3 linked regions of the Ovis aries genome follow. Each later gene encodes a partner of the first gene's protein in a complex. Links are inferred from orthologs where the notes say so. Each region holds a gene or a part of one and is shown on either strand. Other genes may lie near its edges.

What was found. Proteins that work in one complex are often made in the same cells at the same time.
Region 2: DHX16 (region 1) and GPKOW share a complex: the UniProt entries of both Homo sapiens proteins name them as parts of the minor spliceosome. The link is inferred for Ovis aries from reciprocal best matches to the Homo sapiens genes DHX16 and GPKOW.
Region 3: DHX16 (region 1) and SRRM2 share a complex: the UniProt entries of both Homo sapiens proteins name them as parts of the minor spliceosome. The link is inferred for Ovis aries from reciprocal best matches to the Homo sapiens genes DHX16 and SRRM2.

The regions. Positions count from the first base shown.
Region 1 is NC_056073.1:27,449,982-27,459,505, reverse strand, and holds the start of DHX16 (pre-mRNA-splicing factor ATP-dependent RNA helicase DHX16), read right to left. Parts: upstream 6,586-9,524; 5' UTR 6,430-6,585; coding exon 6,223-6,429; intron 4,886-6,222; coding exon 4,635-4,885; intron 4,552-4,634; coding exon 4,389-4,551; intron 4,096-4,388; coding exon 4,039-4,095; intron 2,079-4,038; coding exon 1,824-2,078; intron 1,625-1,823; coding exon 1,421-1,624; intron 1,342-1,420; coding exon 1,150-1,341; intron 544-1,149; coding exon 433-543; intron 287-432; coding exon 171-286; intron 1-170. UniProt on the Homo sapiens protein: Required for pre-mRNA splicing as a component of the spliceosome. Contributes to pre-mRNA splicing after spliceosome formation and prior to the first transesterification reaction.
Region 2 is NC_056080.1:55,984,543-55,994,400, reverse strand, and holds the start of GPKOW (G-patch domain and KOW motifs-containing protein), read right to left. Parts: upstream 5,407-9,858; 5' UTR 5,254-5,406; intron 4,394-5,253; 5' UTR 4,247-4,393; intron 2,626-4,246; 5' UTR 1-2,625. UniProt on the Homo sapiens protein: RNA-binding protein involved in pre-mRNA splicing. As a component of the minor spliceosome, involved in the splicing of U12-type introns in pre-mRNAs.
Region 3 is NC_056077.1:2,803,910-2,813,436, reverse strand, and holds the start of SRRM2 (serine/arginine repetitive matrix protein 2), read left to right. Parts: upstream 1-4,121; 5' UTR 4,122-4,328; exon of another isoform or gene 4,329-4,336; intron 4,337-4,683; exon of another isoform or gene 4,684-5,164; intron 5,165-7,426; 5' UTR 7,427-7,456; coding exon 7,457-7,698; intron 7,699-8,613; coding exon 8,614-8,721; intron 8,722-8,911; coding exon 8,912-9,076; intron 9,077-9,240; coding exon 9,241-9,318; intron 9,319-9,527. UniProt on the Homo sapiens protein: Required for pre-mRNA splicing as component of the spliceosome. As a component of the minor spliceosome, involved in the splicing of U12-type introns in pre-mRNAs.

The DNA.
Region 1 (9,524 bases):
TAAGTCAGAAAGGAAGACAATGGCCAAACTGGCTGTTGGAAGTGAGAAAACAGGGTGGGAAGGAAGGAGAGAAAAGCCAGAGGTGAAAGGATAAAGGTGCTGAAGGTCGGGAGAGCAGCAGATGGGAGGGAGGCAAGGGTGGCCGTGGGAGCTGGGGGAGCTGTGCGGACCTGTAACTCGCAAGGTCAGGCTCAGAGAGGAACTCCCGGAGAAGCATCCCATCCGTCATGTAGCGCAGGACGGTTCGCTCTGACGTGCAGTCCTCGAAGCGGATGCTGTAGCCGACCTGTTGAGGGGTCCGGGAGTGATGGACAGTTGGGCTGGTGCTCCTGGGAGGGAGGGCCAGGGGACAAGGGCGAGCACCTGGACGGGCAGGGGCTGAATCCCAGACCCAAAGGGCTCCCCGCAACCCTCAGTCGCCACAGGTCTCACCTCATTGCCAAGCTTCACACCCATCTCCCGGGCCACTCGGGCAGCCACACTCATGGCTGCCACTCGCCGGGGCTGGGTACAGGCGATCTTCATACCCTTCCTTGTGTAACCCTGCAGGACAAGAATAAAGAGGAGGCTTTCCCTTTGCTAAACATGCAATTCAGAGAAGCTGGAAATGCAGGCCAGGGCAGAACGGAGGAACAGACAGAAGTCGAAAACCAGACAAAGATCAACAGATAGGATGGCAGATCTGGAGCTCCCAAAGGGTCCTCACCCAGCCCTGGCAGTCCCAGCCTGTTGGGTCATCAGGTTCAGGGCTCTGTGAGATGTGAGCTGAAAAAGGACTGACTGGTTGGGTAGACCCCAAAGCAAGGGCAACAAAGGAAGGCATAAAAGCAGGCGAGGTCTTTTCAGTCCTCATTCCCTGGCCCTGCAGAGGCGAGGCTGGTGGAGCGCGGGGTCGCGATCACACCCACATGCCATCTATCCATCTCCACCTCCTGCCGCCTCAAAGGCACAGCGCGCCCCCCAGGCATGGACCCCGTGGCAGGAAGTGAGAACAGAAACGGGAAAAGGGTGTGGTCCTTCCTTTGAAGGACCGAGCAGAAAAGACTAACGGAGTGAGACGAAAATGGAAAGCAATGACATAAAACCCCACGACAAGGAGCTGCCAGCACAGCTTCGGGTCAGTGGCAACTGAGGGCGTGGCTGCCGTACCTCCTCAAAGAGGTACTGTGGGATCTGGGTGGTCTTGCCCGAGCCCGTCTCGCCTTCGATGATGAGGACCTGATGGTTCGCAATAGCGGCCAGGAGCTCCTCGCGGAACGGGAACACAGGAAGACTGCGGCGCACGGCCTGGATGGACTCCTTCTGCTGGGCCTGAGTGGGGGCGGGCGGGGCCGACGGCTCCTAAGGAGGAGGGAGAGGGCCGTAAGCATCAGGGCCGGCGCCGGCCTCCTCAGGACGTCCCTGTGCCCCCCACTCTCACCTCATCGCCCTGGAGCTGAGTGGCCCGGACAAACTCAATGGTCTCCTCCTCCTCCAGCACCAACTGATACTTGGGCTCCTGGGAGGCAGCATCTCGGGCCCCAAACTTCAGGGATGCTGCCCCGAGCCGGGCCTCCTCCCAGCGCCGCTGCTCCTCCCCAGGGGCGCCGGACTCCTCCTCCACTAGATCCACTGCACGTGCAGGCTACGGAGACAGGGGGACATGGAGACAGGGGGACATGGAGACAGAGCTGCCCTCTCTGCCCAGCGCCCCCTCCCCAGCTGCTACCGCCACAGAGAAAGGCAAGACAAGAGAGGGCAAGCCAAGCCGCCGCCCTAGTCCCCAAAGCCTTCCCTTCCCTCCGCTCGGGCACCTGGGCTGGAGCAGTGACCCCTCGCCTCACCTGTCCTCGGGTCTCCTCGGGCATGTGGTAGCGATTGGTGGCCTCCAGCTTCTCCTGCTCCCCAGCCGCCCGGTACTCCCGGGCCAGATCCCGCACACGCCGCTTGTACCTGAGCTCCCGGCGCTCGTGTCGGCTCAGCTCCACGTCCCCGAAGAGGAACTCCTCGTCGGCCAGCTCGGCCTCCAGGTCTTCCAGCTTCTCTCGCTCCCGCTTGGCCAGGTACTCTCGGCGGGATTTCTTCCTCAGCTCAGGGACCTGGGTCAGGCCAGGGCAGTCAGAGCCTCCCCTCGCTAGAAGAGTGACCCCTTTCCCCTGTCCCCCTAAGAGGCACAACCTCCTGGGCAGGCCGGCCCGGAGAACCTAAAGATGTGACCTCCACCGCCCTTCCCTTTACACTGAACAGCCTAACGAGGAGCCCGACGTAGGGCCCACACGCTGCCTGCCAGCAGCTCGGACGGTCCTTCCAGGCAGCCTCACCATCTTTGCCAACATCGACTCACCAGGATGATTATGTGCATATTTTCTATTCTACCCTCGCTATTTCATTCGACTCAGTGTAAAGGGAGAAAACATGACGATGTGGAGGCAGAGGTCTGCAACTGAAAACAACTGAGACACTCAAAATCTGCCAGGGGCCCTCCCCTCGGGGGCCGAGTGTATCGGGTTGACCAAAGAGTTCATTCCGGCTTTTCTGTAACATCTTATGGAAAAAATGCCAATGAACTTTTTGGCCAGCTCAATACTTAATTGCTTGGTTTTTTTGTTCCATGATACACTAAAATGGAGTTTATGCTCATGACCTGATCTGAGTACCACAATCAAATTCTCCTTCAGCCTGACAGGCACACCGCTGGACAGTACCCGCCCCTCGCCCCACCATGGGATGTACACACCACCACCCAAGAGGCGCTGCTGCTACAGCTATTTAATCTGAGTCTAAGAGAGCTGCAAGACCCAATTTCCACTTTAAAGTAAGCACTGGGACAGAACTTAACACCACAAGATAACGGATCAGATAAATCCAGAATGTAGGACATGCCGTACAAGATAAGACAGAAAGAAAGAGAGAAGGGGAAGATGAAACAAACTGAAAAGACCTCACACTCAAATGCAACGCATGAAACGTGACTGGATTCCAGTTTGGAAAAGCAGTTATTAAAGACATTTTGGGATAATTGAAGAAATCTTATTGTGGGCCGACTCTTAGCTGATACATGAGACCCCTCTTCTTGGCTAAGACAGTGCAATGTGTGAGAATGTCTACAGGCACCAGGGACGTGCTGATGGGATAAAATCCCACAATGTCTAAAACTTTCATATGGTTCAAAAAGGACCAAAAAGCTGCCATTTACACAAACACTGAAAATATTGCACGTGGTATTAGCAATTTTTTAATCCAAAAAGCCTGGATGGATGTTGTTATGCTATTCTTTCAACTTTCCTATTTGTGTAAATTATGAAGATTTTCATAATTGAAAAAGGAAAGAAAAGTTCAAGCAAGTAAAAATACTACATCAGCACCAAGAGACATCTCAGAAGTCTCTGGCTACAGTCACTTTCTGGGGTGTAACCTGAGATGGATACATCGGGGGGACCCGATGGCCACTAAGGCATTGTTAAGACACCAAGAGTCTCGAAATTCTTTGGGGGAAATCTAAGCGTGACTGACATGGGAAGGCCAGGCCTTCAGAAAACTGCAACCCTACCGAGGCTCCCCAGTAACAAGTCTAGGGCATGAATCGTTAAGGGCCCAGTCCCTGTACAGTGAGAAGACCAACTCTGAAAATCAGTGGGTAATCACAAAGCCCAGGGGAGGGGGAGGCGGGGTGGGGAAACGGAGGGATTAGATGATAGGAAGGTACCGGGAGATGGTGTGCACAAGCTCAGCGGTCAGCACATCCCTGGGCAGTGTGACCCCTGCCCTGCCCCTGTCCTCCAGCCAGCCCCTTGACCTTCCAGCTGCCTTTTGAGTACACCTCTTTAAGTCCCAGGAACAGGGAAATACTTCCCTCACTAACATACAGTCTGATCTGATCCTAAGGAGTCAGAGGGTTTCTGGGCCACTTCCTTCCCACTACAGTTTAAGTCTATCCTTAGCTGGCGCCTCAACCAGAGACCCAACAGCCCCACCACACCTCCTCTGCATCTTTCCTCCCTACCCTAACCACTCCATCAGGAAGCCTTTCCCTTTGTCTTCCTGGGCACACGGACTCACCATGGCTTTCCGGTCTTCCTCAGCCATCTTGAGGCGCTTCTGAGCCTCTTCGTAAGCCTAGGAGAAGGCAAGAGTGGTCAAAGTCCCCGTGCCCACAGCCATTCCTGTCTAGAATCACAAGGATCACTCAGATGTTCCCTAGCACAAAGAAATGTACCCCCTTCACTGAGGAATCTCTGTGGTTACAGGTTCAGCAGAGAGCCACCTTAGCCCAAAGACCCAAAGAGATGACCAGACTACTGGAGGCGGCTCCTTGTCTTCCCAGAGATCACTATCTGCGGTCACACCCAACCTCAGATCGGATCCAGGGGTCTGCCTGGGGACTGATGGGAAGTGCTGCTCCAATGCACCTTCTTGTCTGACCGCTCCAGGACGTTGCGAGTCCGATCCTTGTCCCGCTGCCGAACCCGCTCAGCGAATGCATCGCGTTCCTCCAGGTCCTGAAGGCGCTCTCGCTCTGTCCGCTCCCACTCATCCTCCGACTCCGGCTTTTCCGTCTGCTCTTTCTTCTCCCTGCAGCCCACCCCGGAGGATTAACTGAGGGCACTCAGAGGCTTCCTGTTCCATCACCCTCTCGCCCCCTACTTCTGACTTACCCTGTCTTCCTCTTTCCTTTCTCAGAAACTTGTTCCTCCTCCTCGTCTTCCTCTTCCTCCTCACGTTTCTTCCTGAGGTGTTTCCGTTTTTTCCGCTTCTTCTGGACACTGCTCCCAGCCCTGCCCACAGTCTCCTCGCTGCTCTCCTCACTGTCCTCCAACAACATATAAGAGCGGTTCTTTTCCAGCAGGGCTCGGGCCTCTCGCTCGGCTGCCCGAGCTGGCTTTTCCACCACTGCCTTCCGTGGGACCTGTCGGGAGAGAGAGAAGTCAAGGGGATGTAAGCAACTCCTGATCTCTGCCCACCTACTCTGCCCAGTTCCTAATTTAAGGAGTAACTGATCTTAAACCAGCTGTCATTCTGTCTCTTCCCCAAGGCTTCACACCATGTCCATCAGCCCGAATGGGGTCTCTCAGTTCCTAAGCCTATCCCATGCACCCCCTGCTAGGTACTAGAGATATAGGGGTAAAGAGATAAAACTTTCTGCCCTCATGGACTTTACATTCTCACACTCAATTCTCAACTGCTCAGCCTCTGTTCTTCCCGATGACTAAGTCATTCCTACCCAAGGACTGGACAAGGATTGTCCAGATTGTTTTGCAGAGCCCTGTCACGGGCCAGCACTGTAGTGGCCTCCAGAGATACCCTGGTGAACGGATTAACACAGAGCTCCTACCCTCACATCAAGTACGTTCTCATCTTTCACCAAGTGCAAATGGGACAGCCACACCAAGTTATCTGCCATGAACAAGTTCAACACTTTTAGTCTTACTGTATAATTTCTGAGCTCTTGTTCTGCAGGTTACAATTAGATGGTATGAATACAAAGACAAAAATCACAGTCTTGCCTTCCAGGAGCTCACCATTACACCTTTACTCTTCCCCTTTCTTTACCCAACAAACTCCAGATAATCTTTGGGCCTGCTTTTCTCGATCACAGCCACACCACTTCTACCCTCCCACAACACTGCCCACACATCTCTTCTATAGACTCACTCTTCGAAGGGTGGGCAACACCCAGCATCACCCGAAAACTTACAAGATTTGTTAGAAATGAAGAAATGAAGAAACCATCCCAGACCTACCGAATCGGAATCCTCATTTTAACAAAAGCCGTGGATGAATCCTAAACCTGTTTGAGAAACACTGCTCTGTAGACCCTTAGTTCAGTTCAGTTCAGTTCAGTCGCTCAGTCGTGTCCGTCTCTTTGCGACCCCATGAATCGCAGCACGCCAGGCCTCCCTGTCCATCACCAACTCCCGGAGTTCACTCAGACTCACGTCCATTGAGTCCGTGATGCCATCCAGCCATCTCATCCTCTGTCGTCCCCTTCTTCTCCTGCCCCCACCCAAACCCTCCCAGCATCAGTCTTTTCCAATGAGTCAACCCTTAAGCCCTCCTCAACCTTCTCCACGGAAGTGGTCGTCCAGCCCGAAAGTGATAACTGCTTGCAAACTGAGCTTAATTCTCCGTTGGACAGTTAGCCCAAGTGAGCCCAAACTCCGTTGGACAAGTAACCTGGGGGCCCCTCCCCTGCTCCACCCACTTTCCCGCCGCTCCCACGCCCGGTCCCGCCTCTCCCAGCACCTTGTTCCAGAGTCTCAGGGCGAAGTCCCGGGCCGGCCCACTGAGGTCCAGGGTATCGGTGTCTCGCAAGCGCTGCACGAACTCCTCTGCCGAGGCACAGCGCTGCGCGGTACCGATCAAGAACTGGGCCACGTGCCGCTCGCTCAGTCCCAGCACCGAGTGCAGCTCGTCTTGCACCCAGCGCTCCAGCCCCGCCGGTGTCGCCATGGCGACAACACGCTCCCTATTCCCGGCCCTGAAAGTGTCTCCAGCTGCCACGTCGGCGGCCGGGCGGGTCGGGGGCCTAGAGCTCCAGGATGGAGCCTCTGCTCCGGAATGGAGCTGCCTGAGAACCGAGGGGTTCGGTTTCCGATAGTCCAAAACAATCTTCCTGGACCGCTGAGGCCGGAAGTGGCTGCTCTTTTCCGGCCTATGCACTACGGTGGCCGAGCGAGTTCAAATCTCGCGTAATTGTACGCGAAGCTCGGAATAAAACATTTTCATTTCTTCCCCTACTGAATTTCTGTTGCCCTCTGTTGATCATTCGTGAGTATTACACCCATTCATTTCATTCAACTATATTAAGAACCTAAAGTGCCTGGTGGCTCAGGTGGGTAATGGCACCCCACTCCAGTACTCTTGCCTGGGAAATCCCATGGATGGAGGAGCCTGGTAGGCTGCAGTCCATGGGGTCGCGAAGAGTCGGACACGACTGAGCGACTTCACTTTCACTTTTCGCTTTCATGCATTGGAGAAGGAAATGGCAACCCACTCCAGTGTTCTTGCCTGGAGAATCCCAGGGATGGGGGAGCCTGGTGGGCTGCCCTCTATGGGGTCACACAGTCAGACACGACTGAAGCGACTTAGCAGCAGCAGCAGCAAAATGCCCGGTGGCTCAGGTAGGAAAGAATCTGCCTACAATGCAGGAGACCTAGGTTCTATCCCTGGGTGGGGAAGACCCTCTTGGAGGAGTAAATGGTAGCTCACTCCAGTGTTCTTGCCTGGCGAATTCTATGGGCAGAGGAACCTGGCCTACTACAGTCCATGGGGTCACAAAGAGTCGGACATAACTGAGCGACCAACACTTTCAGTGTGGGCCAGGCACAGTTTTAGTACCCAGGGATATAGCAAGGAACAAATCAGAAACAAATCGCTTACTGAATTTACAGTGGCAGAGGGTTGGGGGTGGGGACCAGCCTGACAGAGACAAGATAAAAATATAAAATACTAAGTTATATGGAGCCAAAAATAATGCAAGGTGTGTGTGGGCGCTTGTGGGGTGGGGCATTCAAATTAGAAGATCAGGTCCATGCTTGTTACAGATCAACTAATTAGGAGTGACCTTTGCTAGGACCTTCTGCAAGACATGAATACAGGTTAGGCTTATCAAGGACTCCAGGCAGATGAAAACTCAAGATGTGGAGAACAAGCAAAGGTACCCTCTTTTCTTGGTGCTATCTCATAATGTTATTTTAAAAGATCTGCAAACTAAGAAATATGCAAATTGTATTCTGCTTTTTTTTTCTTTTGCTAACAGCTTGAGAAAGTCACTGGTGTCTGCTTAATTTTAAATAAGCAGAACTTGTTGCTTGACTGCTGTCTGGCCTCTGGTTCTGCTTCATACTTGTACAATTAATTGGATTTATCTGACACTGTGTTGGGAAACTAAACATTTGTTATTCCAACTAACAGCCACAAGTAGTTCCACATCATTGATGTCATGAGTGCACTGTTTTCTGTTTCTGAAATGGACTGTGAACACCCCTGGCATCTCAGAGCTTCTTACTTCTGCTTTCCTGGGTCAAAACTAATTAGGGTCTTTACCTAATTAGCTACTAATGTGAGTACTCTCCCTCCATACTCACACCCTCTCTGAAGTGGCTTATTCTTTTGACACCTTGCTTATTCCCTTGCTGGGAACATATCTGGCATGTGTTTAAAATCAATTTTTCTAATACATTTTGTTTTTAATAAAGGAGGACCTTCCTGTAGTGATAGGACTATATCTGCCATATCTTTATTAGCATGGAGAACTGGAAAAAAAAAATCTGATAAGTAAAATGTAAATATTCCACACGTAGAAGATACAAATTCAGTGAAACAGGAAAGTGTCCCAGTGCCAACTATAGTTGGGCCACAAAGCCATGAATTATCTATGGTTCTTAAAACTTTAGGAATGTAAAACCAGTTGTCTATCAGAGAAGACCCTTTTCAGGAATCTGCCCCTCTGTACTATTTTGCAGCAGTTTCAAGAGATTTATTACTTATAGTCTTGAGTCTTGGAGTAAAATCCCCTGGATTAGCTAGCCACTTCTAATCATACACTCTCTGGCTGCTTGCCTTGCACTAGGCTTCTGGATACCAGAATCTTTCAATTCAGAGTGTCCTTTGCTTCCAAATTTTTATCTCCTTTCATCTGCTCATTCGTCCATTCATTCTAAAGATAATTGTGTGTGTCTATCAGGTGCCAGGCATGGGGATGCTGCAGTGAACCCAGCCGACTGTTTATTATCATGGTATGTCCAGTGTGGTGGATGATCCAACTGTCCTTTCTCAAACCAGCCCTAGACTTAAAAAAATAATAATTTAAAAAATTATTTTCAAATCATTTTAAATAGTTTATTTATTTTTGGCTGCACTGGGTCTTCAATGTGCATGAACTTTCTCTAGTTGCAGCAAGTGGGGGCTACTCTTTGCTGAGGTGGGCAGGAGGGCTTCTCACTGTGGTGGCTTTTCTCGTTTCAGAGCATGGACTCTAGGTACCCGGGCTCAGTATTTGTGGTATACCAGCCTAGTTGCCCTGCAGCAGGCATCTTCTGGAGCAGGGATCAAACCTGTGCCCCCTGCATTGGCAGGCGGATTCTTAACCACCAGACCACCAGGGAAGTCCAAACAATTTTTAATTTAATTTTTTTAAAAAAGAGAGAAAACAAAACAGGGAGTTCCCTGGTGGTCTAGTGGTTAAGATTTGATGATTTCATCATGGAGGCCCAGGATGAGTCCCTGGTTGGGGAACTGAGATGCCGCAAGCTGAGAGGCACAGCAAGAACAAAACCAAACCAAAGCAACAACAAAAACTCCCCAGTCCCTCTCCTGTTGGTCCTTGGAGAGACCAGTGCCAGGTTCTCCCAGAACCCACTCTCCACGGTCAGTGCTGAGCTTCTGGTTCCCTGTCATATTTTCCCCTCCCACAGCCACGGCTGCTTCCTCTTTATGGCTAGTAAGAAGGTGAGAGAGGCCTGGAATGAGGAACCCAGAACCCACTCCATCCTCCCCCACCCCCATTCCCTTTTTCAAAAGAAAGAGAAGCAGCAGGAGAGTCG
Region 2 (9,858 bases), on another chromosome or scaffold:
TCAACCAATTAGTTTTTCATCTACAGGACAATAACCAAAATGAAAAAAAAAAAAAAAGCGGAAGGACTAAAAGTAGCTCTTTGGGGCTAGCAGAAGAAAGGAGCAATGAACTAGAAGAGAGTTCAATGCAAATTATGCAATTTGAAGAACAGATTGTGAAAGGAATGAAGAAAAAAATGAATAGAGCATCAGACAAATATGGGACACGACTAGGTGCACCAGCATATGTGTAATGGGGAAGCAGAAGTGGAGATAGAGAGAAGAGCCAAAAAGATTCAAAGAAGTAATAGCTAAAATCTACATGTCCAAGAAGCTTAACCAACTCCAAGCAGGATAAATGCAAAGAAATAGATACCTAGGCACATCATAGTCAAAAATGTTAAAATCCAAAGAGAAAACCTTGAAAGAACAAAGAGAAAAATGACTAATCTACAAGGTAACCCCAAGGTAACTAATATTACAAGCAGTCTTCTTTTTTTGGTTCCATTGGGTCTTCATCGCTGCTCACTGACTTTGTCTAGTTGCAGTGAGCGGGGGCTACTTTTCCTTGCGGTGCACATACTTCTTACTGGGATAGCTTCTTTCATTGTGGTACACAGGCTCTGGACACAGGGGCTTCAGTAGTTGCAGCACTCGGGCTCAGTAGTTGTGGCTCAAGGGCTTTAGTTGCTCCTTGGCATGTGTGTCAGGAAGCATTTAACAGGAGGCTTCCTGTGTGCTGTTCTGGATCTGTCAGGAATCCTCTGTTCCTTATAGGCAAGCCTCTCCCGGGGCTCAGGGATCCAGGCATTTCCTTCGTTAGTTTTTCAATATGGTGATAAGTACCCTCTTCTTCTTATGAACCATAGGGTAAAAGTGATTGTTTACAACTCTCTCTTTAATATGGATCGCCTATGTTTTGTAAGTCTGGAATTTTAATCTTTATCTTTGCTGAGAATAACTACAGTATATATGCCCACACCATGTTGATTAAAACACCTTTGTTCCATCAGAGCTTTGGTCCCATGTCTTTCTTTCTCTCTCTCTCTCTCTCTCTCTCTCTATTTCTGGCTGATTTCCTGGAACACAAAAGCCGGCTGCAACCCAGGAAATATTAGCCTCTCTCCTTTCACTTTCTCATCATCGATTCCAGACCACCAGGTTCTGGTCCATTAAAGGACATCAACACATGTGGAATCTTCCCGGACCAGGGATCAAACCCTTGTCCTCTGCACTGGCAGGCGGATTCTTATCCACTAGGCCACCAGGAAAGTCCCAAGCAGGCTTCTTATCATAAACAGTGGGTCCGGAAAACAGCTAAAATTTTACTCAATCATGAAACTCTGTATACTTTGTACCCATGATCTGTAATAAAACAATGTCTGCTCTTGCTACTTCTATTCAATATTGTACCTGAAATTCTAGTTGGGAAAAGTAGGCAAGAAAAAGAAATAAAAAGCATCCATATTGGAAAATGTTGACAAAAGAAAGGACAAGTAAGTGGTTCAGTGGCAAAGGATTCACTTGCAGTGCAGGAGACTGCAATGCCGAAGATGCGTGTTCGATCCCTGGGTCAGGAAGATTCCCTGGAGAAGGAAATGGCAACCCACTCCAGCATTCTTGCCTGGGAAATCCCATGGACAGAGCAGACTGTGGGCTACAGTCCATGGGATCCCAACAGTCAGACAGGACTTAGTGACTAAACCACAATTTAAACAGTGAATTATTTCTGGGAAGGTCACCTTGAAGGGAAGGGAGGATGTCTTAAGCAGATTACCTCACTAGGGCTGACCAGGAAAAAAAAAAAAAAAAAACCTCACAGACTAATTGGCTTAAAATTCGATTCCTAGGATAGCCTGCAAGTACAATTAGGTTAGATATTAAATATCAGTGGAGCTTAGCACAAGTCACTCCATTTTGCATTGATTGTTTCCTTTTTAACAAATAAAACCATCTCTATTTGCAAATGTCATTACATAGAAAATCCTAAGGAACCAACTGAAAAACAATTAGAACTAATGTTTCACGAGGTTACAGGATAGAAAATCAATATACAAAAATAAATTGTATTTCTATAGACAAGAATGAAATAAATAACTTCATTCACAACAGCCTGAAAATAATAAAAATACTTTGGAACAAATTTAACAAAAGAAGCATAAAAATTGTACTCTAGGAAATGCAAAGCATTGTTGAAAGAAATTAAGGAAGACCTAAATAAATGGAGAGACATCCAATATTGACTCAAAGCTTGTGCTGGATTCTCAGCATGGCCCTGTTCAGTGCTCTCCTGCAGCTCCCATCTTTCTCTTCCACCCTCTCTCACAATCCAATAACCCAAGATTCATGAAGGAAATATTGGCAAGATGGATAGTTCAAGCTTCCCAAAATTACACAAGTTTTTTTTAAAAAATACTTATTTATTTGGCTGTGCAAGGTCTTAGTTACTTAGGATCCAATTCCCCAAGGTAATTGAACCTGGCCCCCTACATTGGGAGCCTTGAACGTTAGCCACTGCACGACCAGGGAAGTGCAATGCAAGACTTTTAAAACCAACTGTACTTGACATGCCAGGAACTCTTCCTAGGAGGCAAGGGCATCTTGGGACAAATCCATGATGTCATTGTCCTTCTGGTATTCTAAGGGCTAAAGAATAAAAGAGACTAGTGTTAGTCCTGCAGTCCTATCTGACTCTTTGCAACCCCATGGACTGTAGCTGGCCAGGCTCCTCGGTCCGGGATTTTCCAGGCAAGAATACTGCAGTGGATAGCCATTCCCTTCTCCAGGGGATCTTCCTGGAATCAAACCCAGGTCTCCCACATTGCTAAAGAAAATCTTTAATGATGGTCCTGTGAAACTGGATAGGGCTCTTCCCTATATAAACATTCTAGCCGCTTCTCTTTGAATTCACATCCGGGTTTCACCATTCTTACTATGTAAGCCGAGACCCTAGTAATCATCCAGGCTCCACCTACCCGAATAACCATCCTGATCCCACCTTCTTAGCTAACAACCCTGGCAACAAATATTCAAGCAATCCTCCAAATTTCCTACATCCCTCAAATAAAACATAGATTTTGCCCCTCATTTTAAACCCTTAGGCCCACCCTACGCCGTGCTTCTCCAGGATTCCAGGTCCTGCTCTCTAATTAGCCGGGTTTTAGTCACTAAGTCTGCCTGGAAAATCCCATGGACGGAGGAGGCTGGTGGGCTGCAGTCTGTGGGGTCGCTAAGAGTCGAACACGACTGAGCGACTTCACTTTCAATTTTCACTTTCATGCATTGGAGAAGGAAATGGCAACCCACTCCATTGTTCTTGCCTGGAGAATCCCAGGGACGGGGGAGCCTGGTGGGCTGCCGTCAATGGGATCGCACAGAGTCGGACACGACTGAAGCGACTTAGCAGCAGCAGCAGTCATTAAATCGTGTCCGATTCATACACTATAGCTACCCCATGCGCTATATAGCCCGCCAGACTTCCTCTGTCCATGGGATTTGGCAAGAATACTAGGTGGGTTGCCATTTCCTACTCTGGGAGATCATCCCACCCAGGAATCAAACCCGGGTCTCCTGAATTGAATTACAGGCAGATTCTTTACCCACTGAGCTACGAGGGAAGACCAGTTAGCCTATAAAACCTCAACCTATTATTCCTGACAGTTCCAGCCACACTCCCAGTGCGTTTATAGACTCCGCCCCCTTGACTAACATTCCAGGCCTGCCCCTCAGCCAGTGCCCGACCCCAACCCTCTCCAGGCACGGCCTCCTCAGAAATACCACTTGAAACTCCGCTGACGAAAATAAATATCAAGCTCCGCACCCACAGCTACTCTTGCAGCGTTCAACTACTCCAATAACCCTCTCTATGTCACCTCCTAGAGGAATATTCTAGGCTAAAACCAGGACCCTCCAATCACAGCCAAGCGCGGGCCTCCATATTCACACTCATTGGTCCCACCAAGAGAAGTGAAGTTGCTCACTCGTGTACGATTCTTTGCGATCCCATGGACTGTAGCCTACCAGGCCCCTCCGACCGTGGAACTTTCCATGAAAGAGTACTGGAGTGGGTTAGCCATTTGCTTCTCCAGGGAATCTTCCTGACCCGGGATCGAACCTGGGCCTCCCGCATTGCAGGTAGACGCTTTACCCTCTGAGGCACCAGGGAAGCCCTCACACCAAGGTGGGTAACTAACAATCCTGGGCCCGCCTCCTCAGAACCACCCTCCACTCCGACCACGCCCCCGGAAGGCCACGCTCCGTCACTGACCCTCTTTGGGGCGCAGGCGCACGGTGGTGCCGGCCCTGCGTACCAGCGCCGCCACGTCGGCCGCAGCTCGGGCCGCCAGGGGGCGAGCTTCCAGCCGCGCCAGGAACTGTCTGGCGCGGGGGCCCTCGGGCTGGGGACCGCCACCGCCTGCGCGAGTGAAAAGAACAGATCAGGGCCCACCCTGAGTCTCAGCGAACCCTCACGGCCCCCTACGATCAAAGACCTAGAATTCCCCTCAAGATCCCCGAGACCACTCCTTTTCAGAGTCCCGAAGGTCACCGACTGTGCCTTTCACCTCCCTGGACCCCCGACTATCACGGGAATGCCCGTGGACCCCCGCCTGCTCCCGCGATATCCCTGGCGAGCTATTTAACTCCAGCACTCCTGGACACCTCCGAACACCCTGTGAATATCTCTGGAGGTTTCTGACGGGCCCCCCCCGACACAACCCCAGATTCCAAACTCTTCCCCCCAATATCCAGAAGGACTGCGATTCTCCCAGATGTCCCAACAGAACACGGTCTGCTCCCTGTGGCCCAGGCACTCCCGATGCCCCTCTAGATGTCCTAGGTAACCCTGCTGGTCCATGTAGCCCCAGATGGCCCCTCCACCTATCCCCAGAGGCTCCAGCCTAACCTCCCACAATCCAACAGACACACACCCCCCCCCCGATTCTAACAGCCCCCCCCCCCCCCCGCCCAGTGCCCAGGTGTCCCCAGTGATCCTGGGCAGAACCCTCCAGCACATCTCCCCGGAGACTCCTGGGAGTCCCGGGGTCTGGTGCGCCGCCCCGCGGCGCAGGTGTGGATGGGGGTGCGGCTCCTCGAGCCCAGCTGGGGTCGCTGGGCCGCTGCCCTCCACCGCCGCCGCCGCCGCCGCCGCCGCCGCGGCTCGGGCGCCAGGGCGGCTTTGTTTACCACCTGTCAGAAGGAGAAGGTGAGGAGCAGACAGGAAGTGTGAGGGCTGGCAGGGACGTGCCCACTACCCTCCCACCCCGAGCCCGGTACCTCCTTTGCTTCCCCTAGGGTCCGTGCCGCCCCCCGGGCGCCGCTCCATGACCTGTACTTGGCCTGGTGGACGCACGGCCGCCCGCAAACGCGTTGGGAGCGCTCGGGAGCGCTCACCTGGTGGCCAGCTCGGGCCTGGACGTGGCTGAAGCCGGCCGGTCCCGTGCTCAGCGCCCCAACCAGCGCGGTGACCTACCTGGCAGCCGCCAAGGAGTCCTGGCCCTGGGAGCCAGCGCGCACTCTTGGCCTCGCCCTGCCTCAGCCGCTGCCTCTCTTTCCCATCACCAAGGGAAAACTCTTTCCACCTCGGGGATGTTGTTATTCCAGTGTCAGAGGGGAAAGTCGAGGCCCAGAGAAGTTAAAGGCCCCACCTGAGCTCTCACAACTAAAAATGGGGTGCAAAACCGGAACCCAAGTTTACCGAGGTGTACTGCAGCCTCCAACAGAGCTTTCCACATCTTACGTGGAAAGTCGCTCAGTCGTGTCTGACTCTTTGTGACCCCATGGACTGTAGCCTGTCAGGCTCCTCTGTCCATGGGTTCTTCAGGCAAGAATACTGGAATGGGTTGCCATGGCCTCCTCCAGGGGATCTTCCCCACCCAGGAATCGAACCCGTGTCTCCTGAGACTCCTACATTGGCAGGCGGATTCTTGACCACTGAGCCACCTGGGAAGTCCCTTCCACATCGTAGACAGTCAGTCAATCTGCACTGAATGTTTCCCTGCTGGGGAACTGGAAGAGTATGGTGGCCTGAGGAGTGGGGGCACCCTGAGAGTCGTTGGGAACCCTGGGAGGTATCAGGGCCCTGAGCATGATAGGGTTGGTGGACCCCCAAAGTAGGGAAGGGCAGGTCTCCTGGAGAGTGGAGGGGCAGTAGGAGCCTGGACTTGAGGAAGCTTTGAAGGCATAGGGTGTGTGTTGGGGGCGGGGACACTAGCCAATGAGAGGGGAGTAATGAGGCTCCCCCTAGGTTTGAAATGGGGTGAGAGTGTCTGGAGACAAAGCCCCCAAGATGGAAGCCCATGGGCAGAGTGCCACTCTAGTGACAGGAGGAATGGGGAGGGGTGAGAGAAGGCCTGTGGCCACCACTTTGTGGAGGAAAAAACAGACAAAAGATGTGAACACAAACTTTACCAAAGAACATATACAGATGGCAAATAAGCATGTGAACCTCGCTTAATATGATTAGTCTTTAGGTAATACAAGTTAAAATCATGGCAAAATGCCACTACACACATATTAGCATGGCCAAAGTTAATTAAACGTCTGACCATACCAACTGTATGTGAATTTGTCCAGGAAATGGGACTCTCATATACTGCTTCCAGGTTCAATACTTGTTCAGGGAACTAAGATGCCCCGTGAGGCAAGAAAAAAAATCGAACGCCCCTCTTAGTTGTAGACATTCCTGAAAATAATCCTTTTGCCCCTTTTAGCATCACTTGGTTCACGGATGTAGGTCAGTCCCTCTAACAACCCCACCCAATTCTGATTAATTTAAGCAAATCTTTCTTTTCTTTAGGAGATTGCAGGTTAATTGACATAAAATTTGATAGGTTTTGAACCTGTGACAAAACCAGTTTCATTTGCTTAACATGCAGCAAGTCAAAGGATGAGACACCAAGATCTGCAGCAGAGAAAGGAAAGTGCCTCCCAAAAGGCACAGGGCTTGAGATATTTATGAGATAAAGAAGCAGGGTTGTCTTTGACCCAGGGAAAAGTGATTAGAGGTAGGGAAAAGGTGACCTAACAGGTGTTCTGTGCAGGTGTATATGAGTTTTATGCGGCTTCAGGGGATGCATGTGCAAAAATGGAGGTGCACCATGATCTGAAGGTGGACCATGTGATGTGAAAAGGTTATTCATCATACTCCTGTGCAGGCCCAGTTTGGGGTCGGTGGTCCCAACCAATCTTAGCCAGTTTGAACTGGACAATATCTAATTCCAAGTTCCTGAAAAACAACACAAAGCCCTCATTATTATAGCAACCCATATGTCAGAGGTGTGATAACACCTATAGATAATAGGGAGTGGTGAAGGAGTCAAAAATAATTAAGGCATGTACTCTTTATATAGGTACTGTTTATATAAGTACTGTTATATGTACTCTTTATATAAGTCAGTGAAGGCAGGTTACAAAGCAGAGTGATCTTTAACAAGCTGTTCCCAAATCTGCCGTTCTGTAAGACAAGCTCAAGAATCTCTGTCACGAGAACAGAAACATTGACCCTATGGGGCACAGTTTCAAAGTGTTTACATCTGTGAGACTATCACTACACTCAAGACAGGGAACATAATCCTCACTGCCAAATGTTTTCTCCTGCCCCGTGTGAGTCTTCTTTCCTTACTGCTGTCCTCCCCACCCCTGACACTGATATACTTTCTTCCACTGTGTATCAGTTTGCACTTTACTTGTTCAGTTGTTCAGTCATGTCCAACTCTTTGTGACCCCATGGACTGCAGCAGGCCTGGCTTCCCTGTCCTTTACCATCTCCCAGAGCTTGCTCAAACGCATGTCCATTGAGTTAGTGATGCCATCCAACTATTTCATCCTCTGTCATCCCCTCCTCCTCCTGCCTTCTATCTTTCCTAGCATCAGGGTCTTTTCCAATAAATTGGCTGCTCTCATCAAGTGGCCAAAGTATTGGAGCTTCAGCTTCAGCATCAGTCCTTCCAAGGAATATGCAGGGTTGATTTCCTTTAGTATTGACTGGTTTGATCTTGCAGTCCGAGGGATTCTCAAGAGTTTTCTCCAAAACTACAGTTTAAAAGCATCAATTCTTCGGCGCTCAGCCTTTTTTATGGTCCAGTTCTCACATCCATACATGACTACTGGAAAAACCATAGGTTTGACAATACAGATGTTTGTTGGCAAATAACGTCTCTGCTTTTTAATATGCTGTCTAGGTTTGTTATAGCTTTTCTTCCAAGGAGCAAGTGTCTTTTAATTTCCTGTCTGCAGTCACCGTCCACAGTGATTTTGGAGCACAAGAAAATAAAGTCTGTAGTCACTGTTTCCCCACCTATTTGCCATGAAGTGATGGAACCAGATGCCATGATCTTAGTTTTTTGAATGTTGAGTTATAAGCCAGCTTTTTCACTCTCGTCTTTCACCTTCATCTAAAGCTCTTTGCTTTCTACCATAAGGGTGGTATCACCTGCATATCCAAAGTTATTGATATTACTCCCAGCAATCTTTCGGAGAAGGCAATGGCACTCCACTCCAGTACTCCTGCCTGGAAAATCCCATGGATGGAGGAACCTGGTAGGCTGCAGTCCATGGGGTCGCTAAGAATAGGACAAGACTGAGCAACTTCACTTTCACACATTGGAGAAGGAAATGGCAACCCACTCCAGTATTCTTGCCTGGAGAATCCCAGGGACAGGGGAGCCTGGTGGGCTGCTGTCTATGGGGTCGCACAGAGTCGAACACGACTGAAGCTACTTAGCAGCAGCAGCAGCCAGCAATCTTTATTCCAGTTTGTGCTTCATCCAGCCCAGCATTTTGCATGATGTACTCTTTATATAAGTTAAATAAGCAGGGGGACAATATACAGCCTTGTCGTACTCCTTTCCCAATTTTGAACCAGTCCATTGTTCCATGTCTCGTTCTAACTGTTGCTTCTTTTCCTGTATACAGGTTTCTCTGGAGGCAGGTAAGGTTGTCTGATATTCCCATCTCTTTAGGAATTTTCCATAATTTGTTGTGATCCACACAGTCAAGGCTTTAGCATAGTCAGTGAAGCAGAAGTAGATATTTTTCTGGAATTATTTTGCCTTTTCTATGATCCAATGGATATTGGAAATTTGATCTCTGGTTCCTCTGCCTTTTCTAAATCCAGCTTGTACATTTGGAAGTTCTTGGTTCACATACTATTGAAGCCTAGCTTGGAGGATTTTTGAGCATGACCTTGCTAGTATGTGAAATAAATGCAATTGTGAGTAGTTTGAACATTCTTTGGCATTGCCGTTCTTTGGGATTGGAATGAAAACTGACCTTTTCCAGGGCACAAACAAAACCTTGTGTGCCCCAAGACCCAGGGAAAGGAGCAATGACCTCCACAAGAGACGGAGCCAGACCTGCCTTTGAATGTTTGAGTGTCTCCTACTGAGGCACAGGTCAGCAGTGGCCTGCGGTGGGGACAGGGCCTCTGGCAGCACCAGTCCTAGGAGGTGCAGCATGTGGCATAAGTCCTCTTGGAAGAGGTCACCATTAGCCCACTATAGAGCTGCACAACAGGCGACCCACAAACTGGAAAACAATTATGCCAAACAATTATGCCTCGCACTGTTAGGAAAGTTCTAGGGCTCACAACAGATTTCCCAACCTGGGTATCCTGCAAAGGGACTGATTTAGGAGGGAATTTGATTCCCAGGGAATTTGATTTAGAAGGCCAGTGGGATTTGATTACCGAACTTCTACAGGACTGGTGAAACAGAAACTCTTGGAGGGCACAAAGAAAATCTTGTGTGCACAAGGACCCAGGAGAAAAGAGCAGTGACCTCACAAGAGACTTAGCCAGACTTGTCTGTGAGTGTTTTCAGTCTCTAGTAGAGATGTGGGTCCACAGTGGCCTGCCACCGGGTCAGGGACACTGACTGCAGC
Region 3 (9,527 bases), on another chromosome or scaffold:
GAGTCCCTTGGACTGCAAGGAGATCCAACCAATCCATCTTAAAGATTAGTCCTGGGTGTTCGCTGGAAGGACTGATGCTGAAGCTGAAACTCCAGTACTTTGGCCACCTCATGCGAAGAGTTGACTCATTGGAAAAGACCCTGATGCTGGGAGGGATTGGGGGCAGGAGGAGAAGGGGACGACAGAGGATGAGATGGCTGGGTGGCATCACCGACTCGATGGACATGAGTTTGGGTGGATTCTGGGAGTTGGTGATGGACAGGGAGGCCTGGCGTGCTGGGATTCATGGGGTCGCAAAGAGTCGGACACGACTGAGCGACTGAACTGAACTGAGAGGGTAGGAAGTAGTTATTGTTTAACAAGTACAGAGTTGGGGGATGAAAAAGTTCTGGAAATGGATAGTGGTGATGGTCGCACAACACCATGAATGTATTTAATGCCACAGAATTGTACATTCAGAAATTAGTTTAAATGGTAAAATTTATATTCATGTGCACTTTACCACACACAAAACAGCTACACTGTAGTGACACTCCTGACCTATGAGGTTAGCCAAAACGGAAACGCACTGCGAGGCAGTCCGTTGGTGAAGCAGTGGGGAACAGGCCCTCTCATATTCTGCCAGTGGGAATGCAAACTGGTACAACCCTTACGGAGAGGGATCAGTCCTTACTAACAAAACTACATTTGTCTTTACCTTTTGCCCTAGCAATCCAACTTCTAGGAATTTCCCTTGAAGATACTGTTGCAACGCTATAGCCTTGTAGCCTAATAGGCTCCTCTGTCCATCGGATTTTCCAGGCAAGAATACTGGAGGGTAAAAAAAAAAAAAAAAAGAACACTGAAGGGATCGCCATTTCCTCCTCCAGGGGATCTTCCAGATCGGAATCGAACCCCGGTCTCCTGCATTACAGGCAGATTCTTTACCACTGACCCACCTGGGAAGCCTACCTTGAAGATATACACCCCGACAAATATGAAAATATGTATGCACCTGGTTACTCACTGCAGCATGGTTTGTGATCACAAAACACTGGAAACAATTTAGGTGCTCAGATATAAAAGAGTGGGGCTTCCGTGGTGGCTCAGATAGTAAAGAATCCGCCTGCGATGCAGACCTGGGTTTGACCCCTGGGTTGGGAAGATCCCCTGGAGAAGGGAATGGCTATCTATTTCAGTTTTCTTGCCTAGAGAATTTCATGGACAGAGGAGCACGGTGGGCTATAGTCCACAGGGTTGAAAAGAGTTGGACATCACTGAACAACAAACACTTTTACACCTTTTCACTTTCACAAACTAGAAATTTCATGAGAAAATTGGTTCACTCCTTCTTCACTAAATGACCTGAATCAGATCAAAGTCAGTGTTGGCAGTAATGCAGCTACTGGGCAGAACGTGTCTCTTCCTACTGTACACTGAGAACATGTATCACTTCCCTGGTCTTCCTGCCAAAAATGTGTAACCTGCATTTTAAAACTATGATGAAACATCAGACATACCCACATTGAGGGACCTTCTACAAAATAAATGGCTTGTACTCTTCAAAGATGGTAATGCCACGAATTACAAAGAATCTGCAACCCTTCTGGATTAAGATGTCTAAGAACACAACATTTATGATTTTGAATTTTCTTTTGCTATTCAGGATATTATCAGAACAATGGATAACACCTCTATATAAAGTTTGTGGATTATTTCAATGTTACTTTATTTTGAAAACTGTACTGTGGATATGTAGGTTTCCCAGGTTGCACAGTGGTAAAGAATCCACCTGCTAATGCAGGAGGTGCGGGTTTGATCCCTGGTTTGGGGAGATCCCCCTGGAGTAGGAAATGGCAGTCTGCTCCAGTATTCTTGCCTGGGAAATTCCATGGACAGAGGAGCCTGGTGGACTATGGTCCATGGGGTTGCAGAGTTGGACACAACTGAACAACAGAGCACAAAGACTGTGGATATGTAAATGAACTTGTAGTTCTCATAATTCATCCCTTTCTCATAGGAATAGGATGTTCTCACAAGCATTAAATGCAGTGATTCACAATCAGAACTTAGCACAAAATATTCAGTAAATACAGGTGAAACTATTTACCTCAGATTGGGACTTGAATCCATGTGCTGGGATTTGAACCCAGCCAAAACCCTGCTTGGGACTCTAACCCACAGCTTTCCAACTGAGATTACACACCTGGTTTCAGGACCTAATGAAGCTCAGGTTCTTGGTGTCTCATGGCAAAAAGAACTCAGTAGATCAGGATGGCGGGGCGGGGGTGCAAACGTGCACCTGTGGCTGATCCCTGTCGTGTGGCAGGGGCTACCACATTGTTGTGAAGTGATTGTCCTCCAATTAAATCAATAAACTAAAAAAAAAAAAAATCTCAGCGAGAGATAGTGATATGTAAAAGTTAATTTATTTAGAGAGAAACTCAATCCACAGAGTGTGGGCCATCTCAGAGGGTGAGTGCAGCCTCACAAGGTGGTGTAGTTAGCTTTTATGGACTGGGTAATTTCACAGGCTAATGAGTGGGAGGATTCTTCCAACTAATTTGGGCAAGGGGCAGAGATTTCCAGGAATTGGACCACTGCACAGTTTTTGGTCTTTGATGGTTGGCCTTGAACTGTCATGGGGCCTCTCCATGGGTCATCTAGCTCACTGATATGTTAAAATGAGTGTATACTGAGGACAATTCTAGTCAAATTTGACTTGTCTGCATCTTGAACCCATTTAATTCTAATCAGTGTTTATCTTGGGTCCTCAGGATATTATATCATTTTTTGATTGTGTCCCACCTCCTACCCTCCTATCTCTTGGGAAGAATATCATCGAGAATTTGGTTACAGGAAAGGGTCTTACTGAAGGTAATGGGTTTTAAGAAACTATCACCCTTCACCCTCACCTGAGAAATATCAGCTTAAGCCCAGAAAGGACAGGCTTTTCCACTTTGCCATAAATCACTCCAAAGGTGCATCCAACTCCAGGAAGCACTTGCCAGGAGTTCAAGAAGGTAAGATTACATCAGCCCTGGCACCTTTAAGCCAAAGCTACAGCTCCTACACCAAGCAGTAGGTTGCCCCGCTCCAGCATATGAGGTGAGTTATCTTTCCACGATTACAAAGAAAACCTAGTAACATCAGATACAAAGTCAAAGGGGCCACAGTTCATTAAGTGGCTGCTGGTATAAGCTGCCCCCACCCCCACCCCAAACAGAGATAACCCAGACGACTGGCCTGCCTCAAAAACTCAGCTTCTCCCAACTCTGCTCCGAGGGAGACTAGCTGGTCCTCAGGCTGAAGCAAAACGGACTTAAAAACATTAACTTAAGACATTCTGCACAGGGCTGACAAGCTTGGGGCGGGGTGGGGGTGGGGGTTGTAATGTTTTTACCCTGCCACGTATGTAACACGCTTCATGTTCTGCAGGAGAAAACTGCACCTCTGTCTGGCCCCTTACTCGCAGTCATAAAAAAAAAAAAAAATCATTCCTCAGGGGCAGCCAGCCCGGTTCAGCGGATGGAAGCTGCGAACACCACGGTCTGCTGGCTCAGCTCTTGGCTCAGGCCCTGGGCCTGTAGCTGGGCTCTGGGATAACCCGGGTGTCCGCCGCCCAGGGTCCGGGGGGCGGGTACTCCTGGGTCCGGAATGATAGGTGCAGCACAGCCCCCGGGCTCACCCCGGGAGGCGTGCGGTCACTTGGAGGAAGCGGTATTATTGGCCTCGGGCCCATTGCCTCCTAACATGAGGAGACAAAATGGCGGCCTCGTGGGGGCGGGGGAGAGCGAAGCTACCTCCGGGTTCCACGCCACACTAGAACTACAACTCCCAGCATGCTCTGGGCCGAAGGCGGGAGCGATCGAGGGCTAGCGACGCTAGGCCCTGTGTCCTCCTGCTCCCCGTCGGAAACCCCCTGGAATGCGTTGCTTCCTCCGGGCCGCTCCCGAGACCCTCCTCGCAACTGCCTGACGGGAATCGTAGTTCATCGACAACAGAGTTGACTCTCCTTCGGGACTCAAGAAACTACACATCCCGTGCTGATTCGGCGCCTGCGCACAAGGCCGCGGAGCGTACTACGGTTCCCGGCGGGCCTTGCGACGCGCGCGGTTGCGTGCTGACGCGTTTAGTTGGTCGTGCTGACGTGCAACGCGGCCCAGGCGGGGTGCGAGTGGCGCAGTCGGAGCCCGCTGCGGCCCCTGAGGAAGCGAGGAGGCGGCGGTGTCGGCTGAGTCGGGCGGACCGGCGAGGCAGGGCCGCTGCTCCAGGCCCCGAAGGACTCAGGAGCTCGATCTGCGGCAGCACCTCTCCCCCTCGGAGGCGGCGGGTGGAGGCGGCGGCGGGTGAGAGGGTGAGGGAGCGAGCGAGCCGGGTGGGGGAGGGGCGGCGGCCCCGGCGCCAGGCCAAAGCGCGCGGAGAACGGCCCAGGCCGCCGCGCGCACGCGCGCTCGCCGCCCCTAGCTCGCGCGGACGTCCCCGCTCGCCTGCCTCCCCTCCCCCTCTCCCGCGGTTCCTGTCGCGCGCGGGCTTTTATTCCCCCTCCCCCATGGCAACGACGCGCGCCGCCGAGTGCACTTGGGCTCGCGCGCGTTCTCGGCGAGGAGTGGGTAGCGCGCGACTCGGGCTTCTCGTCTCCCAGACGCGTGCGGCGACGAGGCCCTGTTGCAGCTGTCCTTGCCGACATCTTGTTTGCGGGGAGGGGGCTGCGGCGGCGGGGGCCGGCTGTCGGCTCCTTTGCCCCGCGCCTCGCCGGCGTCCGGCCTGTCCGTCCCTCCCCGGGGCTTGGGGTCTGGTCCTGAGCCTCCCAGACTACCGGGCGCCGCGCAGCCCCCTCCCCCATCCCTCAAGGCCGAAAATAGGTCTTGGCGGCTCAGCCTGTGCAAAAAAGGTCTTGAACTAGATATCTCCTCGATTTAGGCAGTTTGGATTCGTTACTGTCTGCCATGAAGTATTAAGCGAAGCATTCAAAACGTTTTTTTTGTTTTTAATTAAGTACTCAGTCTAGGTATGTTAAGGCAGACCACGTGCTCTTTTCTTTTCTTGCACCTTTTCATGGTCTCCAAAGTTGTGTTGAAGCTGGGAAGGCGGCTGCCAGCCCTTTCTTGAGGAGAAAGCGCAGGGTTTTATTATAATTTGACTCAAAACTCTTCCAGACCTCGGTTTTCACGCAAACGCTTATGTAAGATATCTTTTGGGTCAAAAATTTTTAAAGTTGTGTTGTGTTTCCTTTTGAGTGTGTTGAATCTAGGCACTCTCTTACTGAGCTAGTACTTCAGCTTTCTGGGTTCCATAGTCCCTCGTCAGCTACTGTGGTGCCCCAGTGCTGAACTTGATGTGCTTACGTATTAGTTTCATTTTCCTGCACTCTCCGCTCCCTTTTTCCTGCGTTTCTTTCCTTGACTGTCGTAATACTGAATTTTAAGACTCCTTTTGTCTTGTTTAACATGTGATAATTCTCCAACAGAAAAATGCTTTTTATCTTCTTTTGCAGCTTGCTTTTCATCTGCCTTTAGCTTTGGTGACTTTTGCATGCCCGTAGTCCGTGGATCCTAGTTTAAGTGTCTCCATTTGGGTTTTGGTGATTTGTGTATATGTATTATCGATACACTCCTCCTGTCTATCTGTCCTTTGTGAGCATTGTCTTGGATGCCATGGTATTTCTGTTTTTTGTTTGTTTTCTTTGCTGGGTCATTTTCTAAAAGTAGTTTGTTGTGATTGAATACCCTTTGCTTAGCAGCTGCTGGTTATCCTTTTCCAGGGAGTGGGAGGATTATTGTGTGAGGTGGTATGGAAGTGTGGGTGAATGGTTAAACTGAAAAATTAATTGCAGGTCAGAAGCTTTCTGCTAGGGAAGCAGAAACTAGGTAGGGTATAGAGAGCCAGAGAAAATCTAGCTTAAGAGCAAGGAGAAATTTTGAGAAAGTAAACGTGAAGGTTGGAAGATTTCTTGTACTATAAAGAAATTTTTCGTTTCACACAGTTCCACTTGCCTTTCCTAGATTTAGCATCATCCTTTACCCCAATATGGTTATTTTTTTGTTTTGTTTTCAGATCTCTAGAGTCTGCAACTGGGATTGGGTAGGGACCCAGCCTTAGAGTTGGGGGGGAAGGGGTACCAAACTGTTCTAGAGTTGAGCTGTCTTCTTTTCATTCAACATCTACCTGTAAAGGGGGAGGTTGGTACATTTTCCCAGGTGTTTATGTTTCTTCCAGAGTATTTTAAATGGAACTTTTCTTTTTATCCAGTTCTGTGTTTTTTTTCTTCTGCCTTCACTAATATCTCAACTTTGTTCCTTGGGTTCTTTTCCTGGGGTCCTTTTCACTCACACATTTCCTTTGTGAAACTATCTTGGACAGGAGGAGTTGGAGGAAAAAAAAAGTACATAGAGCAGGAGAAAGGAATAGTCTGTGTAGTCAAGAAACCTAATCAGAAAAAAACTAGCATTTGAGGGTTTCTTCAGAGTCATGTGGGGCTGGATGAGAAAAACTAGGCAGTAAGGTAATGAAGGGACTGTTAAAGTCAGCAGTTTGACTTTAATGAAGGTGAGGGAGAAAGAGTGGGGTTTTTGTGACTAAGTGTAGGGAAAGGATGTAGAGAAGGTATGGGGAACAGTTGGACTAGAGGAGACTGCTTTGATACATAGAGAGTTTGAGTTGGAAACGCAATCTTTTCGTAGGAGCTAGGGAGACTTGGGTGAGCCACAAACCATGTGAGAAATCCTATTGGGAAGGAAATTGAAGAAATAACATATCAGTCAGGATAGTTGATATGCCTCTTACCTGAGAGATGATGTATATGAGGATTATGTATCCAGGCTTCATGTGTTTCTGTAGTGCGTGCTGGCCTTTTAGGTTAGGCCTCCTTTTGGATATCAAGGGGTTCTCGAGTCAATTTGTAGTCATAATTTCTGGCTACGTTCAGGGTAGCTAGCCTGAAATGCCTAGGTCAGTTCTTGGAAGACTCTAGACTTGACTGCAGGCCCTTGTGTGCCACAGATCTCTCTCTCTCTCTCTCTGTTTTTATTTTTTGTTGGTGTTTGTTGTGCCCTGTTTGGAGGCCTCAGTCAGTTGCCAAGGAATCAGAGTAGTTGGTAAAGATATCACTTGTGCATATTGGGTTCAAAGTAGAATAAAGGGATAGTGTGGAGAAATTTGGGAGAAATGGGATCTTTGGGGGTGGGTAAGGAAAAGCTAGGTACAAACAGAAGTGGCTCTTGCACACTGAGGGTAAAGACTGTAAGAGCTGGTCTTGATTTGGTAGAAAGTGAGGGAAGGATGAAGGAAGGGTTTGTTTAGGAGACCAGGAGGATTATGCAGCCAAAGGAGGTTTAGTGTGGAGAGACCTGTTGAAGTAGGGTTGAAGAAGAGCAGGGATTTGGGTGGTGGTGAGTGGCTAGTTTGGGGCCAGGGGCCTGACCCGTGTCTCCCCGCTCCCCCTCAGGAGCGGTGGTGCCCCCCCGGGCACGGGGCCATGTACAACGGGATCGGGCTGCCGACGCCCCGGGGCAGCGGCACCAACGGCTACGTCCAGCGCAACCTGTCCCTGGTGCGGGGCCGCCGGGGTGAGCGGCCTGACTACAAGGGAGAGGAGGAACTGCGGCGCCTGGAGGCTGCCCTGGTGAAGCGGCCTAATCCTGACATCCTGGACCACGAGCGCAAGCGGCGCGTGGAGCTGCGATGCCTCGAGCTGGAGGAGATGATGGAGGAGCAGGGGTGAGGGAGGTCTGGGGGAGAGCCACATACCCAGCGAGTGCAGAGCTGGGGAGTTAGGTGGGCTGTAGGGAGTGTTGGGCAAGTTGAAAGAGGCCTGGAGAGGAGTGAGTTGTAGGAGGGGAGGTGGTAAAGAAGCTAGCAAATTGAAAGGAGTTGAGGGGCAGTTCAAAGTGGAACCTGTGTCTGGAACATAAAAGGGAGCCTGAGGGAGTCTGAATTATTTAGATGAAGGCACAGGGGGAAAGAGAGGGGCCATTGAGAAAAACATGCTTTAAGGGAGAGGTGGGGAAGCAGACTAGGCAAGACACAAGAGCTTGGTAAGCTGATATGTTGTCGTCATTGGTAGAGAAAAGGAAGGTGAATGGATGTGAGGGTCGAGGCCTTGGAGAGTAGCAAAGGAAGACAGGAAATTGGAATAACACCTGGATAAAGGGGATCATGAGTTGGGTAGGGAAGTGAAATTTGTGGAAAACGAGCATGTTCAGGCAGAAAACCTTTTAGAGCAGTGGTTTTCAAACTTCAGCAGTGGCGTCCCCCCTGTTTTTGTTTTTGTTTTTTTGTTTTGTTTTTTTAACAATGCACGTTACTTCAGAATCCCATGAAATGAAAGACCTGTTCATGTTGATTGAAGTTGGGGAGGAACACTTGGAACTCTGCCTGCTTAACTTTCCTCTTTTGGCCCTGGAGTGTAGCATGTTTAAAATCCACTGTTCTAGAGGGTGTAGTCAGTGGAGGGAAGAAAGATTACAGGAAAAGAGCAGAATTTGATAGGAGGGCCCTTTGGGTGACAGTGAGTGAAACATTTAATGTGTGCATGGAAAGGGAAGGGGTCCTGCTGGGAACGAGGGAATTGTAAACCCAGGTCTGGGGAGAGTGTCTGGTCAGGCTCTAACCCTGAAGGCTTTTGTTCTTCAGGTACGAGGAACAGCAAATTCAGGAAAAAGTGGCGACCTTTCGACTCATGTTGCTGGAGAAGGATGTGAACCCTGGGGGGAAGGAGGAGAACCCAGGGCAGAGGCCAGCGTGAGTGTTTCCCTCTCCATTTTCTCTGGACTCTCTTCTGCTTTTGCTGTTTTCTCTCCTTACTGTGGACATTCTCCCTGCTCTTGTCTGCCTTTTCTCATGGCTGTTTGGTCCATGCCTGCAATTGTGTGAATATGGCTCTGCGTTTTGTTGTCTATCTCCTTTAGACCTTTGACTTTTTCTCCTCTAGGGTAACTGAGACTCACCAGTTGGCAGAATTGAATGAGAAGAAGAATGAGCGACTCCGAGCTGCCTTTGGCATCAGTGATTCCTATGTGGATGGCAGCTCTTTTGATCCCCAGCGTCGTGCTCGGGAAGCTAAACAACCAGCTCCTGAGCCTCCCAAACCTTACAGGTACATGAGATTAGTGTCAGTTTCTCTTCCTAATTCTAAGTGCTTTGCTCCATTTTTTGTGTGTGGATTATTTCTTTCATATTCTTCAGATTTTGTTCTGAAGTTGAAATGTCTCAGAAAATCCATCTTAGCACCCATCTTTGCTTCTTTTCATTTTCACTCAGCCTTGTCCGGGAGTCTAGCAGTTCTCGTTCACCAACACCAAAGCAAAAGAAGAAGAAAAAGAAGAAAGATAGAGGACGGTAAGTTAGTTGGAAAGTTATTTTAGTAGCCAGAGGACCGCACCTGTCAGGCTTTTTCTCCTTGGAAATAGAAAATTTCTATTTCTAGGAAGCAGGAGGGAGTTGTCAGGAAAGTCAGGGAAGAGGAGTTACCATTCAGGTCTCAGCTGAGAGAAAAAATATGTTTGCTGCTTCAGTGGGAAGGGTTGATTATGTAGCTCTGCAGGACT